Linked DNA regions of Styela clava. Each later gene encodes a partner of the first gene's protein in a complex. Links are inferred from orthologs where the notes say so. Each region holds a gene or a part of one and is shown on either strand. Other genes may lie near its edges.

Evidence for each region. The genes of interacting proteins can lie anywhere in the genome.
Region 2: the proteins of methylcrotonoyl-CoA carboxylase subunit alpha, mitochondrial-like (region 1) and methylcrotonoyl-CoA carboxylase beta chain, mitochondrial-like are in contact, whole or in part, in a cryo-EM structure (PDB 8JXM), measured with the Homo sapiens proteins. The link is inferred for Styela clava from reciprocal best matches to the Homo sapiens genes MCCC1 and MCCC2. Residues at the interface, in NP_064551.3 of Homo sapiens: Glu519, Phe526, His531, Asp532, Phe534, Ser535, Pro536, Phe537, Ser538, Ser539, Ser540, Ser541, Gly542, Arg543, Arg544, Leu545, Asn546, Ile547, Tyr549, Thr550, Arg551, Tyr568, Tyr636, Leu637, Ser641, Glu644; in NP_071415.1 of Homo sapiens: Leu56, His57, Val60, Glu61, Lys64, Asp88, Ile91, Pro93, Gly94, Ser95, Pro96, Phe97, Leu98, Glu99, Gln102, Ile123, Gly124, Arg125, Gly128, Glu130, Arg234, Trp276, Leu278, His281, His282, His285, Lys298, Lys299, Leu300, Ile304.

The regions. Positions count from the first base shown.
Region 1 is NC_135252.1:3,471,631-3,479,477, reverse strand, and holds the start of methylcrotonoyl-CoA carboxylase subunit alpha, mitochondrial-like, read right to left. Parts: upstream 3,025-7,847; 5' UTR 2,914-3,024; coding exon 2,711-2,913; intron 2,351-2,710; coding exon 2,215-2,350; intron 1,838-2,214; coding exon 1,645-1,837; intron 1,212-1,644; coding exon 973-1,211; intron 821-972; coding exon 575-820; intron 248-574; coding exon 155-247; intron 1-154. Other genes in the region: GRIP and coiled-coil domain-containing protein 1-like, read right to left, coding at 5,148-5,307, 5,618-5,683, 6,079-6,215, 6,709-6,838, 6,911-7,110, 7,509-7,691.
Region 2 is NC_135263.1:886,045-893,725, forward strand, and holds methylcrotonoyl-CoA carboxylase beta chain, mitochondrial-like, read left to right. Parts: upstream 1-4,677; 5' UTR 4,678-4,711; coding exon 4,712-6,418; 3' UTR 6,419-7,534; downstream 7,535-7,681. UniProt on the Homo sapiens protein: Carboxyltransferase subunit of the 3-methylcrotonyl-CoA carboxylase, an enzyme that catalyzes the conversion of 3-methylcrotonyl-CoA to 3-methylglutaconyl-CoA, a critical step for leucine and isovaleric acid catabolism.

The sequences.
Region 1 (7,847 bases):
ATACCATGGAAAATACAAAAATTCCTTCTACAAAGCAAATTTTTCTGGTTGAGAAACGTGCTACTAATGCATATTAAAATGATCTCTTGGGTTTTCCACTGGAAGGAAAAAAAAACTAATTGTGGATTATTCTAAGTTTAAACGACTATTATACCTGATTCATCGGGATTTTTTCACCTTGAGCAACTCGAAGTTGCCATTCTACTAAGTCAGTTGAAGATATCATTTCCGTCACAGGATGTTCAACCTGAATAGGAAGAAAAACACTCAGGCAAACTAATAAAAAATTACTACTCTGAAAATGTATGTTACATTCTGTCCAATTGCTTTCTCAATTGGCTCATTAAACATGTCATGTAAATGGATTTGTTAAAATTTGCGATGTTCATAAAATTAGTGAGAACACCTGGATAAGATACTTAAAAAAAAACAATAAGTCAAATTGGTCCTGCCCAGTTTTCTCTCAAGTCATTGTGTATCCCAAAACGATTCCAATTACACAAAAATGAAATGATTTCCATGCTATTCCCATTAAAAGGAAGTTTGCAATACTAAACATTGAAACTATACCAACCTGTAATCTGGTATTCATCTCCATAAAAAAAAAATTTTCATTAGGGTCCATAACAAATTCCACCGTTCCTGCTCCAACATATCCAACAGCCAGAGCAGCACGCACTGCTGCCTCACCCATTCGTTTTTGAGTCTTTTCTAATATATTAGGAGCAGGAGCCTCTTCTATAATTTTTTGATGCCGCCTTTGAACACTGCAGTCTCTTTCAAACAAATAAACAGCATTTCCATGACTATCCCCGAATACCTGTTGATAATATATAACACAATATATAACAAAACCATGATCATGAAGATCATTCGCAGCACAAACATTCTAGCAATATTGTGGTTTTGGTAATCTACTATAGATTTGATAGTATTGAACTTGGTACTGTGTTAACATTGACAATGCAATACCTGAACTTCAACATGTCTTGGTCTTTCTACAAATTTTTCAATCAAAACTATATCATCATTGAAAGATTTTTTGGATTCACGTCTTGCTGACTCAAGTTGTTCCTGAAATTCACTTTCTGTTTCTGCAATTCTCATTCCCTTACCACCTCCGCCTCTAACTGCCTTGATCATGACAGGAAATCCAATTTCTTGTGCTTTTTTCAGTAAAAAAGAATCATCTTGGTTTTCTCCATGATAACCTTAATACATAATAAATGAAATACCAATAAAAATTTGCATCTGAGGAAGTTATCAAGGTAAAAATGTTAGCATAGAAATTAGTTACAAAGCTGAACACTCTACAATACCTGAATGAGATTTTGTGTTTAATTTAGTTGAATAATCAATCGTATATTGGGAAGAAGTAATTGATGAAAGAACGGAAAGATCTTGTAAACATGTCAGACTCAGATTACCATTTAAAAAAAAAAATTAGGGTATTCATTTTTCAAAATAAATATCTTGATTAAAAATATAGTTCATTTGCTTTATACAATAAGTTTTCAGATTCTTCTAGCTAGGTCGTTTACAAACAAGATATGTAGGAGACTGAAATGTTATGAAGACTAGGTCCATCCTGTACAAACGTATATCAGTGAACATTATTTCCATATTTCATTGCAATAAAAATACCTTCAATAATGGGTACTCCTGCAGATGACATAATCTTCTTAGATGTGCTTTTTATACCCATGTCCCTAATTGCAGATGAAGGTGGTCCAACAAATATTACACCTTTACTTTCACAAGCATCAGCAAATTCAGCATTTTCTGAAAGAAACCCATAACCAGGATGAACAGCCTCAGCGCCACTTGTGCGAATCACCTGAAAAGATATTAATATTAAAAGACTACCAATAATAAATAACCTCAACAATAGGGGTTTGCATTGGCTTGATAATCACATTTATCCATATCCTCAAAATTGCATTGTACTAAAAGTCCGGTATATATAAATGATACAAACCCCATTTCACACTTTATTCTAATCTACAAAATTAAAGAGTCATTGCCATTGATGTATGTGAAAATTGAGATATGTTGCACAACTAAAAACAATTCATATGAATTAATTTTTTATAGAGAAATTCATCTGTTCTTGTGTGGTGCAGAAAAGGTAAAATCATAAGGAATTTAATATATTCTATACCATACACTTTCAATAGAATTGAATTAAACATATCAAATAATAAAATAATTTACATTAAATATATTTTCCGTATTTAGATAGCTAAGCTGCGAGGCTGCAGGTCCAATACAATATGCTTCATCTGCCACTTCAACATGTAGTTGATGTTTGTCAGGCTCACTGTAAACTGCTACAGTTGAAATTCCCATTCTAAAATAAATAGAAACTAAGCTTCATCAAATCAAAATCTCCAAACAATTCCTGATACAATATTGTAAAAAATATAATATAAATGTTATGCTGAAGGTGTATTGCACTCAGTCCATATAATGAACAAATAAGTAAATTTTAGGTATGACGATGTGATATTGCATTCAAATAGAATCAAAGCAAGGAAACAAACAAATGTATCAAATCTTTGGCAAATTTCGTAATTGAGACACAGATTACCTTTCATCTTTGATAATAATGCTAGCAGTCCTGTTAGTACTCAGGTGTAGATGTAAATTGTACTAACCATTAATAATAAGACATATAGAAGATGACACCATGCATTCTGATTTATCTTACCTTTTTGCGGTCTTCATAACTCTACATGCTATTTCACCCCTATTAGCTATTACTAGTTTTCTTATATTTCGAGTCGACATTTCATTCTCCAGTTGCACATTTTTCGAACTGCTCGAGTACCATAAAGACCCATGTTTATTCTGATAAGCACCACGATGGATGTTGGTAGTAAAGTTTTTTAGACGAACACGAAATCGATGCATGGTCAGGTGTCTTTCATCCCACAGTACTGCAGATTGTATTCAGATATTTGTGTAAAAACACATTATAATACTGTAATAGAAAATAACACCTAGAAATCAGGAAATACCGGTATTTAATTTACTCTAGTATCGTACAGTATTACCGTATGTCTGTACCGGTATGCACGGTACCGACTGGCTAAGTGCAACCAAAGTGCGTAAGTGAAATCCCGTTGTTTGCAGAAAATTCATTGCTGCGATGCTAAATAAACAATGCCTTCTTCCTAACACAGAAACTTCTGAACTTTCATGAAGCCAGCGAAGTCCATGCACGTACCGGTACCGATATGTCCTCACTACAATGATTACGGTAGACTGTGTCCTTTCTAAAATCTCGATATGTCCATACTAAAAAGGCAATGTCCCGTCTAAAATCACGATGTGTTCCTACTAAAATGGTTATGCCCATACTAAAATGGCTATGTCCTCACTAAAATGACGATGTCCGCTATGCAGCTACGGTATGTCTGTAGTCTATGTCCTTTCTAAAATCCCGATATTTCCCTACTAAAATAGCTAGACTATGTTTCGACTTCCATGATCCCGATATTTTTCTACTAAAATGGCTAAGTCCCCACTATAATAACGATTTCCGGTACGGGTAGGCTACCGGTACCGTATGTCCCTAATGGAATGGCTACCGGTATGTCTCTTCTAAAATCGCGATCCCCGATATGTTCCTACTAAAATGGATATGTCCTCTCCAAAATCGAGATCCCGACATGTTCCAGGTTCTAAGCCCCCACTATAATAACGATTTCCGGTACGGGTACCGTACCGAATGTCCCTAATGGAATGGCTACCGGTATGTCTCTTCTAAAATCGCGATCCCCGATATGTTCCTACTAAAATGGATATGTCCTCTCCAAAATCGAGATCCCGACATGTTCCAGGTTCCTACTAAAATGGCTATAACCGCTGTCCCCAATGAAATGGCTATGTCCCTTCTAAAATCGCGATCGCCTATATTTCTCTCGCTTTCATTTTGGGTTAAAAATGTGTCTCTCATAGAATGATCGGTGGAAAATGATTGGCTATTTCATGCATGATCATAACTGAAAAGTTATTATCCAGAGTAACATTTAATATAACGTTTTCGAGTACACAATGAGAAAAAAGCAAAATTAGTATCAACAGAAAACGGTAGTTCTATAAATAGAATCAATTTGAATCTGGTGAGTTGTTGATCACAGAAACATGGTACAGGTAGCTCGAAGCGATAATGTCTTCGAAGTAGTCCCGAATTTGTGACCTTCCCAAATTCAAGATTGAACTTCTCGGGTAACAATTTTATCTATATTGATGGTTGTTTATCATTTTGCTGAAAATTAGACAAAAAACCTTAATCCATTAGAATTGACTAAATAAGGTATTGAGAGTCTCTGTAAACATAATTATTGAAAATATCAGCAGTATTTCACATGTAACTGCACATACATTATCACAATATTGAAGGATTTTATCATTATTCACTTTAAAATATATCAATTTATAATTTTCCAATGCCCTTATTAACATATGCCCACAGGTATATTTAAACACGTCAGATTTACAATTCTTTTTCCTGGAAAAGGCTAGACTGATATTGAAGTCCCAGGAAAAGTTACTGAATAACATTTGTTCAGGCATCATGAAGTTGTTAAATAAAGTCTTACTGTAATAATAATAGATATCCAAATGAAACTACAGTCTCACTACGAAATCCATGTTTGCCAGATCCCAGTGATCAAAAAAGCCAGGTTATAACACAAAAAGCACTATGATTTGCACCCATTTCAGGCAAACACGTTTAAAACTTTGTTCAAAAACAATTTCAGCTCTTTTCTACCAATTTCAGTATTTTTCTGCCTTGTCAATAACCTAATTCAACAATATTCCTAGAAAAAAGATTGGGCAACAAACAATCTATTGAAACTATCTACCCTTGAAGCAAATTGCGTGTATTTTTCCAGTTTGTCACCTTCACTGCCAAATATGAAAACAAAATTTAATCGCGACAGATAGACAACACACAGATAAAATATAGGATATTTATTGCACAAGATAAGTTTCCATAATAATTTCAGTCCTTATATTTGATATGCAGACTTTGAACATCGATATATATGATCATCAGACATGATTGAAAGATTCCCGAACATGTTGAAACACAAAATTTTGTAGAAATGAGAAAACTGCCATAAAAGTTTTTTTTTTCAAAATTTCTTGCGGACGTTTTTGATTTCGTCTGGACTGAATTGCAGTATTGTAGTGACGGCTCCTAGCATTCGCGATTTTGCTGACTGGTTCCGGTTTGTTGTCAGGTATTGGTACATGACATTCTTAAGGTACTCCAGATTCGCATTTTCTCTGGACCTGTAAAATTAGCTCAAAAGATAAAATTTGCTGGTATCAATAATCTATTCTAAATGTTTTAAATCAAGTCGCGTTGGGTCCATAAGAATTGGTTTTTAGAAAATATGCCAAAACAATCTGATAGAATGCCACATGGTGGTGCGTAAGGTACGAAAGAAAAAAACATTGGGAGAAAAAATCATTAAAACTACAAAATAAATTGGTCAATCAATTAGCTGATGAAAAAAAAATGATTTCCGGCACGGCATACATATTTATTATTTATTTCATAGGACTGTAATGTTCAAATCTTAGTTAATATTTGTCATACTTGCTTCTATCAAAATTCGCAATTTTCTCCTGAAGTTCTGCAATTCCTCTTGAGTTCTTCTCATCTCTGAATATTAATAATCATAGATTAAAATGAAACCGGCTAGCTTCATTACTATTTAGACTACTTTGTATTTTTCTCATTTGCACTACTGAAGTTGACAGGTTCATAAAATTCTAACTCATGTAAAAACTTTGTACATGCTAGTATCCTAACATTAGGTAAAAATGCTAACATCCATTAAAGTACATACAAGGAGTAAAGCATGAACCCAATAGACTGTAAATATAATAGGGTAGTAAGTGTGATACTAACACCCTGAGAATTTATCAACAATACTATTATTAGAAAGCTGACTTAATGAAGAAATACACACTATTCAAGAGTAATCATGTGATTCGAAAAATACACATAGAATGATTGAAATTACAATTTACAAAGGTGGCAAGTTAATTGCATACTTAGTCATGATGGCATCCTGCAATTGCCTTATTTGTAACTCTAATTGTTTTTTATGTCGTCTAAGACCATTTATCAAAACATCCTTTCTTGCCATCTGCTCAGCATAATGGATCATTGTTGTGTCATGCATGGAGCCCTAGAAATAATATCATGTTATATATATGTCGAAACATTTTTTTCTCTGTTGAACAAGGGGAATGTTACAATATTTGCACAAAAATGAAATGAATAATAACTGATCTTCTTCAGGATATTTATTCTTTCACTAAAAAAACTATTGATCCTAAAGTGGGCCCCCATTGGACCAAATCTATTAAAAAGATATATAACCTTGTTGCATATCAATATCAATTTTTCCTACAAAAGATCATCACTAATCAATTACATATCAATCTGAGTCCATTTTCTCTATTTCCTAATCGAATAAAAAAAAAAATTGGCCAGGTGATTGATATTGAAAAATATGATACAAAATGAATATAGTAAGATTCTTAATTGAATCTTATTAGATGACATAGTATAGTGTCACAAAAAGCTTTGGCTTGTCAACCAAACGTAAACATCAAACCACGATGGCAGAAATGAGTATTAACGTCATTTATAATTTAATGTACCATTATACTTTTAACCTGATTCACTATTTCGAAGACGGAATCTTGTGTTTCTTTTAATTTATCATGTCCATAGTGAGTATTGTCACTACTAGTAGATGTTTCTTGATTGGGTTCACCAATTCCGCCATATTCCGACTGATACTCTCTAAACATCCAAATATGAACAGTGACAAAAGTGAGAGAAACCCATGTTACTTTAGATGTAATCTGCACCCACCTATGGCAAGCAGTAGAATAGGCTTGTAGACTTTGAATTTCCTTGTCTTTTTCTGCCAATAACATAACTGTTCTTTCCCTCTGTGACCTCATTTCTTGCTCTAAATCGAGTACTCTTGCAGAATAATTTTCTTTTTCCAATTTCAATTCATTTTGATGGGAAAGATGACAACGTAACAATTCTTCACCTTGCTCTTTTATCTAGATTGATATAAATGACATCTAATTTCAATATTTTAAACCAAAGGAGTGCAAACTGTGGTCCGCGGGCCAAATGCGGCCCATAAGGAAAAATTGTGCATCCGGCAGAGGAGTGGCAATCAATAACCAAATTTTTTGAGCATTCAACTACTTGACTGCTTAATGAATTTATGGTTGTTTTGTTACTTCTTCGTCGGCACTCAGTGCATCTGCTTCGTTACCAAAAGACGTAGCTAATTTGCTTCATTGGGCGATTTGTTCTCCGGCGTTAAATCGGATGTTTAACAAGTATGGTATTGATTGCCAAATTATTTATTTTGAATGTACGACCTAGATTTATGTAACACAACTTTGCATTTAAATATGAAAAAGACTGTCAATTTCAAATAATTCCTCACCAATTTATTTTGTTGCTCTTCCAAGCCATCGCAATGTGATCGGAGATGAAAATGCCTCTCTCTAACTTCTTCTAATTCATTTTTTAATTCTTGAAACTGTCGTTGTGTGAACATATTTGTTACATTCTCTCCACTGGTAATGCCAGTTTCCCGCTTTGCTTTCAAGACATTCTGGGCTCGTACCTGATATGCGAAATGGAAACGTCACACTTAACTTATGCTTCAGAAAATCGCAAGCAAGGAACAATGCATATATAGACAAAATTAGGCGCTCATGTAGTATGTGAACCAAGATGGCGGACACCAGAATATAGTATGTGTACCAGGTTAGGGTTAGGT
Region 2 (7,681 bases), on another chromosome or scaffold:
TCTCGTAAACACAAATTACCTTCGCTTTGTTAAAAACGTGTACGATAACCGGTTGTCATTAGCAGGCAACCGTAACGTTCGACTCATCATGCTTTGTGACGCATGAATAGAGTATTAACCCATTTATGACAAAACAAATCCATCTAGTCAGTATTTGATTTTGAATGTGATCATGATTTTTGACAAGTATGCTCAGATTAAAGTCCCGAGTCTTCAGCAACAACAGATAATTCAGAGAATGGTTCCCAGCGACAACTGGCGTGTTAACATTTACGTAATTTAAAAAATTATCAGCACCGCAAATTATAACCGCCGCAGTGACCCCTCTTCCAAGGGTGCACCCCCTAACCTCCCCCTCCCCTATAATTTTAACCCGGCCCCTTTCCCCTAATAAAGTGCTGTGAATCCGCATTTTAATTCTTAACGTGAATAAAATTGTATTTGAATATCTAGAAAGTGGCGTATTTACCAGTCCAGGTAAGTCAAATATCAAACACAATTTTATAAGTTACAAATAGTCTTATTGCCAGTAACACAATTTCTACAACATCCTGAATTTGGAAACACCGCCCTTAACATTAAAAAATCTGGGAATTATACTGAAAGGTAGTCATCTCTGAGAAATCGGGCGATCTAAGATAGGCTACAAAAGGTATAGAACGAACTGACATCGGCAAACTAAGGCCACAACCAAACCAAAATCAAATTTTGATGTTTTAGCTAAAAAATAGCCCAAAGAATTTGGTGAGATTGCGATTAAATTTAGTTTTGGCACGAGGAGTATTGTTTTTCCCGTTTGCTTTTGTAACACTGTAAATTATGTTCCTAAAATGTAACTTTTTACGTCACACTTACATGGCCCGCCGGTCTAGGTGGGTAAAATTTGCCCACCCATGGATAAAAGAAGGTACATGAACTTTATAGCTTTGCTACAAAAATACCAGCAGATAGACTGGTCAATGCAGACTTGAAGAAACATTTCTAGTCAACTTCGTGAGGGAACAGCGTTACGAATAAAAGCTCCGCAAAATAAAAGAAAAAGGAATTCCTTGATCAGAGCGAAAATTTTGGCGCTTCAGAAGTATGTGTACCAATATGGAGGTAACTAATTTTAGTTGCCTACTTTACATCAAGTTGTGTAAACGGACTGAAACCACCGGCAGGGGGTATATTCACTTGGCTAACACATACAGTCCCCGAACTCGTAATAGAACTAAAATAAGATAAATCGGAATACAATTATGACCTAACACTTATGACCTAACCTTGTACACACACGACGGTAGTACAGAATATTTTACTATTCCAAGTAGATATAAGTCTGCCGCATGAATCACATTGCAATCTTTAACAGCTGTGTAGCGGGTTAATACATGACATTCAGACTAATACACATCAGCCTATGGAAGGCATATAAATGGCCCCTCTTCGGCTTGGCAAACGTAATCTAATTTTTAGGGCTTGTCAAACCCACTAGACACGTATATATTATTGTTAAAAAGGTGTGTTGCAGTTAACTGTAATAGCCTAAATATGTCTACCCAACCCTACCCTACGATTTGAATATTTTTGTTAGGGTTATTTAGGTTTAAATTCTGCTATCTAAACATATTTATGTGATGATGAGGTGTGTTTCTATTGCTTGTTAGTACCCAATTAACACAATACTGTTATCACAACAATTACTTAACCCTGGTATCTTTACCGGCCTATATAAGCGAAACCCATAATTGTATATCGCACCCTAAATGCGTCTACGTAATTCAACCATATGATTAGATATCGATATTAGGCAGTGATGGGATTGAAAATGAAACGAAAGTTTCTCGTCTGTATTGACCCACTAACAAAAGCCTTTCTTTAAAAAACGTGCAGATTGTTTCTCAAAGACTGGGTTCGCATTTTAAATTTTTGTCGTGGTCTCCACTTTACCCAGACACGCCACTGTTGTTTGTACCTAGCACAATAACACTGGGGGTATAATGATAAAATAATAATGGTGATTAAAGGTGACCCATAATTCTGTATCACACCGAAAATATTTCACGAAAACCTACCTCAATGCTTGGATATTGTTGTTATTTGCATTCTATTCGATTGCTTTCGCGGTTAAGTTGTATTTTTGTGCAATTGAGTACGAGAGAGCTCGGCTGTGAAAATACTTTGGAAATTGTTTAAAATTAGTGAAAAAGGCTTAGGCCGTGAATTCCGCGCTACCATAGTCTCTAAATAAGAGCTCAAATCTTCGCCATAAACCAGATATAGAAATACTGCGGGCCGCACCAAGGCATTTTGTTCTCTTCCTGCTCGTGGAAAAATTTAGATTGATTTTAAACATTCGTTCAAAATGCAGTAATAAAAATTAGTGTAAAAATAGCTGTGATAGACTAGCCTGAAATTCTTTACCGGTTCTTTTAAAAAACAGATTGTTGTATGCGATGAATCATAATGATGTTTTGAAACACATACCCCATTTTAGAGGCGCCAACTCGCAAAAGCACTCTTAAAATAGCTCTGAAAATTTTGCAATGGTAAAGTATAGGGAGAATTGTCCGAGGGTCAAAGGTCGGGGAAAGATCCATGGTGTCTGACACTGTTGAACCGGCAATGGGAAAACATATTGGTATTATTTTTACAATTCAAAAGTTTGGATGCAATTAAATTAAAGCTACTAGGAAGACAGTGTGATCACTGAATTATCTGATTTATATTTAAGTTTCCTGAACACAACTGAAAACTAACGAATAGAGTTCAAAATCGCGAAAACGAGGTAATGTTTACAACCACGCTTGAAAATCTGTCTGAGTGAGAAAAGTGTCTGAGCGAATGCGAAAAGGGGGCATTGTTACGTCACTTTTTGCATCTTGCTGATTGGCCAATGTCACGAAGTGAACAAGGAAGTCAATGCTCGGGGAAAGGTCCATTAAATTCGATACTATCCAAGAAAATGGAAATAGTAACTGTGATATCACATCATTCTTATCCCGAACCCCAACTAAATACTAATTCGGAATTTCAGCAGAGAGTGCATTTCTTAAATTTAACATTTTTGCATTAGTGGCGGGCGCTTCGTACAAGAGACCCATTTCCCCCAACTTCAATATTAATTAATTTCAACTTGCCTTGAAACCAAAGCCTGTACTATTGAGCTGTTCAACAAGACGAAAGTGATTATTTAAGGTGATTTAAATTTCTTGCATCCAGTAATCCTCTCGCATGAAATTTACCCCGCATGAGCTCCGAACCCCCGCAAGGAAATCAGATGGCGACGGCGAGCGTATTCCCAACGATTAGCACGATGTGCCCAGGGGCGTAGCCATGGTTCTGCGGGTCGAAACCTCCTGCTTTGGAATGTGTAAAAAACGACGACTAATAGGCGTGACCTTCCACGCGCCGAATAAGCGCGTAAAACTTTATGGCTTCGTCTCCGGATGCCGTCAAGTAAAAGCACCATGATAATGATATGTGATCGGATAACGCGATTTTTGAACTTCCCCCTGTCCTTTGACCCCCGTGAAATTCTTCCTATACTTTAACAGTGAAAATTTTCGGTGCTTATTTAAGAGTGGTTTTGTCAGTTGACCGGGGTATTTTTGTTTCAAACCATCATTCTGACTCATAGCATTCAACAATTTGTTTTTTAAAAGTACCGGTAAAGAATTTTAGCCTAGTCTATAACAGCTATTTCTACACTAGGATAGGATATTTTTGATTACTGCAATTAAACTGAAACTCCTAAGAAGACAAAGTGATCATTGAATTATTTGATATATTTAAATATCTGAAACACAACCAGACTTGCAGTTTTTTTCCTCTCCCCCGGGATAAATATGTAAAATCCAACCCTATTCTAAGGCTGTATTTTAGCTGATAATCAAGATGGTAACGGTACCTAACTTTGAATGTTGGTAAGTACCGGTACCGGTTATTCGGAAAATGCAAGATGCAATTACATAACTAGTAAACCTAATAATGACGTTTAATACTGTACCTAATATGTAGTACGGTGTTACTGTATTAAAAGGAGTCGCAAGAGTTTGATCCCTACATACTGACATATGCTTGGCACTTCAAATAAAGAAGAAAATGGGAATTATCACTAATAAAAGACGATGAAATAAAAATTATTAGTCATATCATACTAGCAACCACTTCAATACGAGAGAGCCTTGGTCTCCATATCGACTCGAATCAAATGCGCAATAAAGTAAAAGAAAGCGCAATCTAGAACTGTCTCAATTGAAGTCCCCCAAAAAATTATACAATTTACCAAAGGAAAAAATATTACCATAGCATTCGAGAGTTTTTAGAGAAAAAAAAACGCACTTTTGGTCATTCATGTCAGCATGTGACGATGGATGCACGTCACGATTGATTTATTATAGAGACTAGCATATTTTGTGACAGACCCCCTCATTTCAGAGAAAAATACCTCTAGTGAAACCACTGTCAGAATATCGAGAATCTTGAAATTTAAGAATTTCGCCTTACTGCTGTACTGCATGGGCTGGTTAGTTACTGGACCATAGGTTGCTTTATGATTAACAAGTCATGAAATCGTCTTTCCTGTTCCTAAATAAATTTGAAAAGCTTATTCTGTTATTCAGAGTTTACTCACTGTTCATGCTTTCTTATGTGTGCTTTTTTCATCTTCAATTTTTTCTGTATTGCAGTTTTGTAATCTAGGTGTTGTGATACGAATTACAGCGTTATGGCATTGTGCCAAAGAGTTTTGAAAAAATGTTTCAGTTTGCTGCACAGGAATTTGGGTCATAGTAATGGTTTATATACAAGATACCATTCAGCTATGTTACCAGTTGGGTCAGATCCGGACGTAAAATCGGAAATATTTCTCGAGAATGAAGCGAGTATGAAAAAACTTGTTACAGAATTGAAGGAAAACATTGAAAATATTTCACACGGTGGTGATGAGAATGCTCGCAACCGACATACATCGCGAGGAAAATTACTAGTACGAGAACGAATCCAAGAATTGTTGGACCCTGGATCTCCATTTTTAGAATTTTCACAACTTGCTGGGTATGATTTATATGGAAAAGAAAAAGTCCCGGCGGGGGGGATTATAACTGGAATTGGGCGAATAATGGGGCAGGAATGTATGGTCATCGCAAACGATGCGACAGTAAAAGGAGGAGCATATTATCCTATCACAGTACAGAAGCATGTGAGGGCTCAAACAATTGCTAAAGAAAACAATTTAACTTGTGTATATCTGGTTGACTCAGGCGGTGCAAACTTGCCTCGACAAGCAGATGTTTTTCCAGATCGTGATCATTTCGGACGAATATTTTTTAATCAGGCTTCCATGTCAGCGCAAGGAATTCCTCAGATTGCTGTCGTAATGGGTTCGTGCACAGCAGGTGGCGCTTATGTGCCCGCGATGTCAGATGAAAGCGTGATTGTAAAAAAACAAGGGACAATTTTTCTTGGAGGTCCTCCATTGGTCTACGCAGCGACAGGTGAAAAAGTGTCACCAGAAGATCTAGGTGGCGCTGATTTGCATTGCAAGCATTCAGGCGTGACTGATCATTATGCGTTGGATGACGCACACGCGTTACATATTGCACGAGGAATCGTCGAAAATTTAAATCGAGAGAAAGATGTTACAACGACTTTAAAAGCACCGGAAGATCCGTTATACGACCCTGAAGAGCTTTACGGAATCGTTGGAAGCAATTTGAAACGGACTTTCGATGTACGAGAGGTCATTGCCAGGATCGTTGACGGCAGTAAATTTCACGAATTTAAGAAATTATACGGGGATACATTAGTTTGTGGATTTTCTCGTATTTTCGGTGTTCCTGTTGGGATTATTGGAAACAACGGTGTTTTGTTTTCTGAATCAGCACTAAAGGGAACACATTTTATCGAGTTGTGTTGTCAACGTAAAATTCCGCTTTTATTTCTTCAAAATATAACCGGATTTATGGTTGGTCGAGAGGCAGAGGAGGGCGGCATTGCAAAGGACGGAGCAAAAATGGTGACAGCAGTTGCATGCGCTCAAGTTCCGAAAATCACTGTCATAATTGGGGGATCATATGGTGCTGGCAACTATGGAATGTGTGGACGGGCTTACGGTCCTAGGTTCTTATACATGTGGCCGAACGCACGAATTTCTGTGATGGGGGGAGAGCAAGCCGCAACGGTTTTAGCAACAATAACAAAAGATCAAAGAGAACGTGAAGGAAAAACTTTTTCAGCAGAGGAGGAAAAAGCATTGAAAGACCCGATTATATCTCGTTTTGAAAAGGAAGGGAATCCATATTTTTCGAGCGCTCGACTTTGGGATGATGGTGTTATTGATCCGACTGATACAAGAATGGTCGTTGGACTGAGTCTACATGCAACTCTGAACGCTCAGATACCAAATACGAAATTCGGAGTTTTTAGGATGTAATAGAAGCAACGTTGGTATTTTAGAATCTCAAAATTTTTAATTTCACTTCAAAAAGATTGATTTCACTTAAAACTTTTATTATTCTCCTACTTTTTCTCTGAGAAAGCCCAATTTCACCCTAATAGAAATTCCTCTAAACATGGACATTTTGGCCATGTTCATAACACGATGTATGTGCTTTTAGTTGGCGTGGCACAACCATTTTTGCATGTGTTATTCCTAACCCCCACCTGACTATGTCAAAAATTGCGTCACTATGATGTATAATACTATATAGTTTCAATATCTCTTGAAATTTTAATGGTTTCTTGTAACTTTGTTCAAAGTTGGTCTCTTTTACCTTGCCTTAGGAAATTTGCCTCTAGGGGAATCAATTATCCCTCGCCATGCATGTTACTTTGATTAATCATGCCCAAATTCCACACCTTATAGTTGGTTCATGTTTGGCAACACTTGTTATTTTTATTCTTGCACTTACAAGGATTATAACATAAATTTTTTTGTGTCTGGTTTACCACCATAAACGAAACAAAAACAGTCAGTTTATGCAGCTGGGTAAATTGAATTAGACAAAATTTTAACTTTGAGAATACGTGTGCAACGTAACTCTTACTAGACAGGCCTGGTCTTGCCAAAATCATATGAATGGACGTTTCTCCAGAGCATAGATTTCCTTGTTTATTTCCGAACCATGACCAATCAGCAATAAGTCAACGATGATGTGACAATGGCAATTTGTGCAGCCGCTTCGAGCATGGTTGTAAACATTGCATCGTTTTTGTGCTTGTCAATTTCCAGTTTCAAAAAATAGGCTGTAAATCAAATTATATAATTCTTATTCTGCCCTCCAAAAACCTTGCAAATACAGTGAAAAACTGTGCCATTATTGTATTTCCTAGTAGGTGACATACAATGTTTCATAATTCAAACTATTTATTTTTCTTATAACTTGAACAATAAATGTTTTTCTGATTTTGGAATCGTTCTATGGATCATGTGCTTTACACTTTAATATTTGTTCATTAAATAATTGAGTGAATATTTAGTAAAATACTTGTAATGTTTTATTTATTTCTTACAAATATTCGAAGCTTTATTAAAAGTAGTAAATGTGAATTCTGTTTTATTTTCGGCAGTTTGCTTGTGTGGCAGCAGCATGAAGATTTGAAATTGGGATATAATGGTAGTGCTGAGTTTCTCAAGCTTTTTCGGGGTGCACAAAAGGGCATTGCTATTTATTTAAATAGACATCATCAATCATAT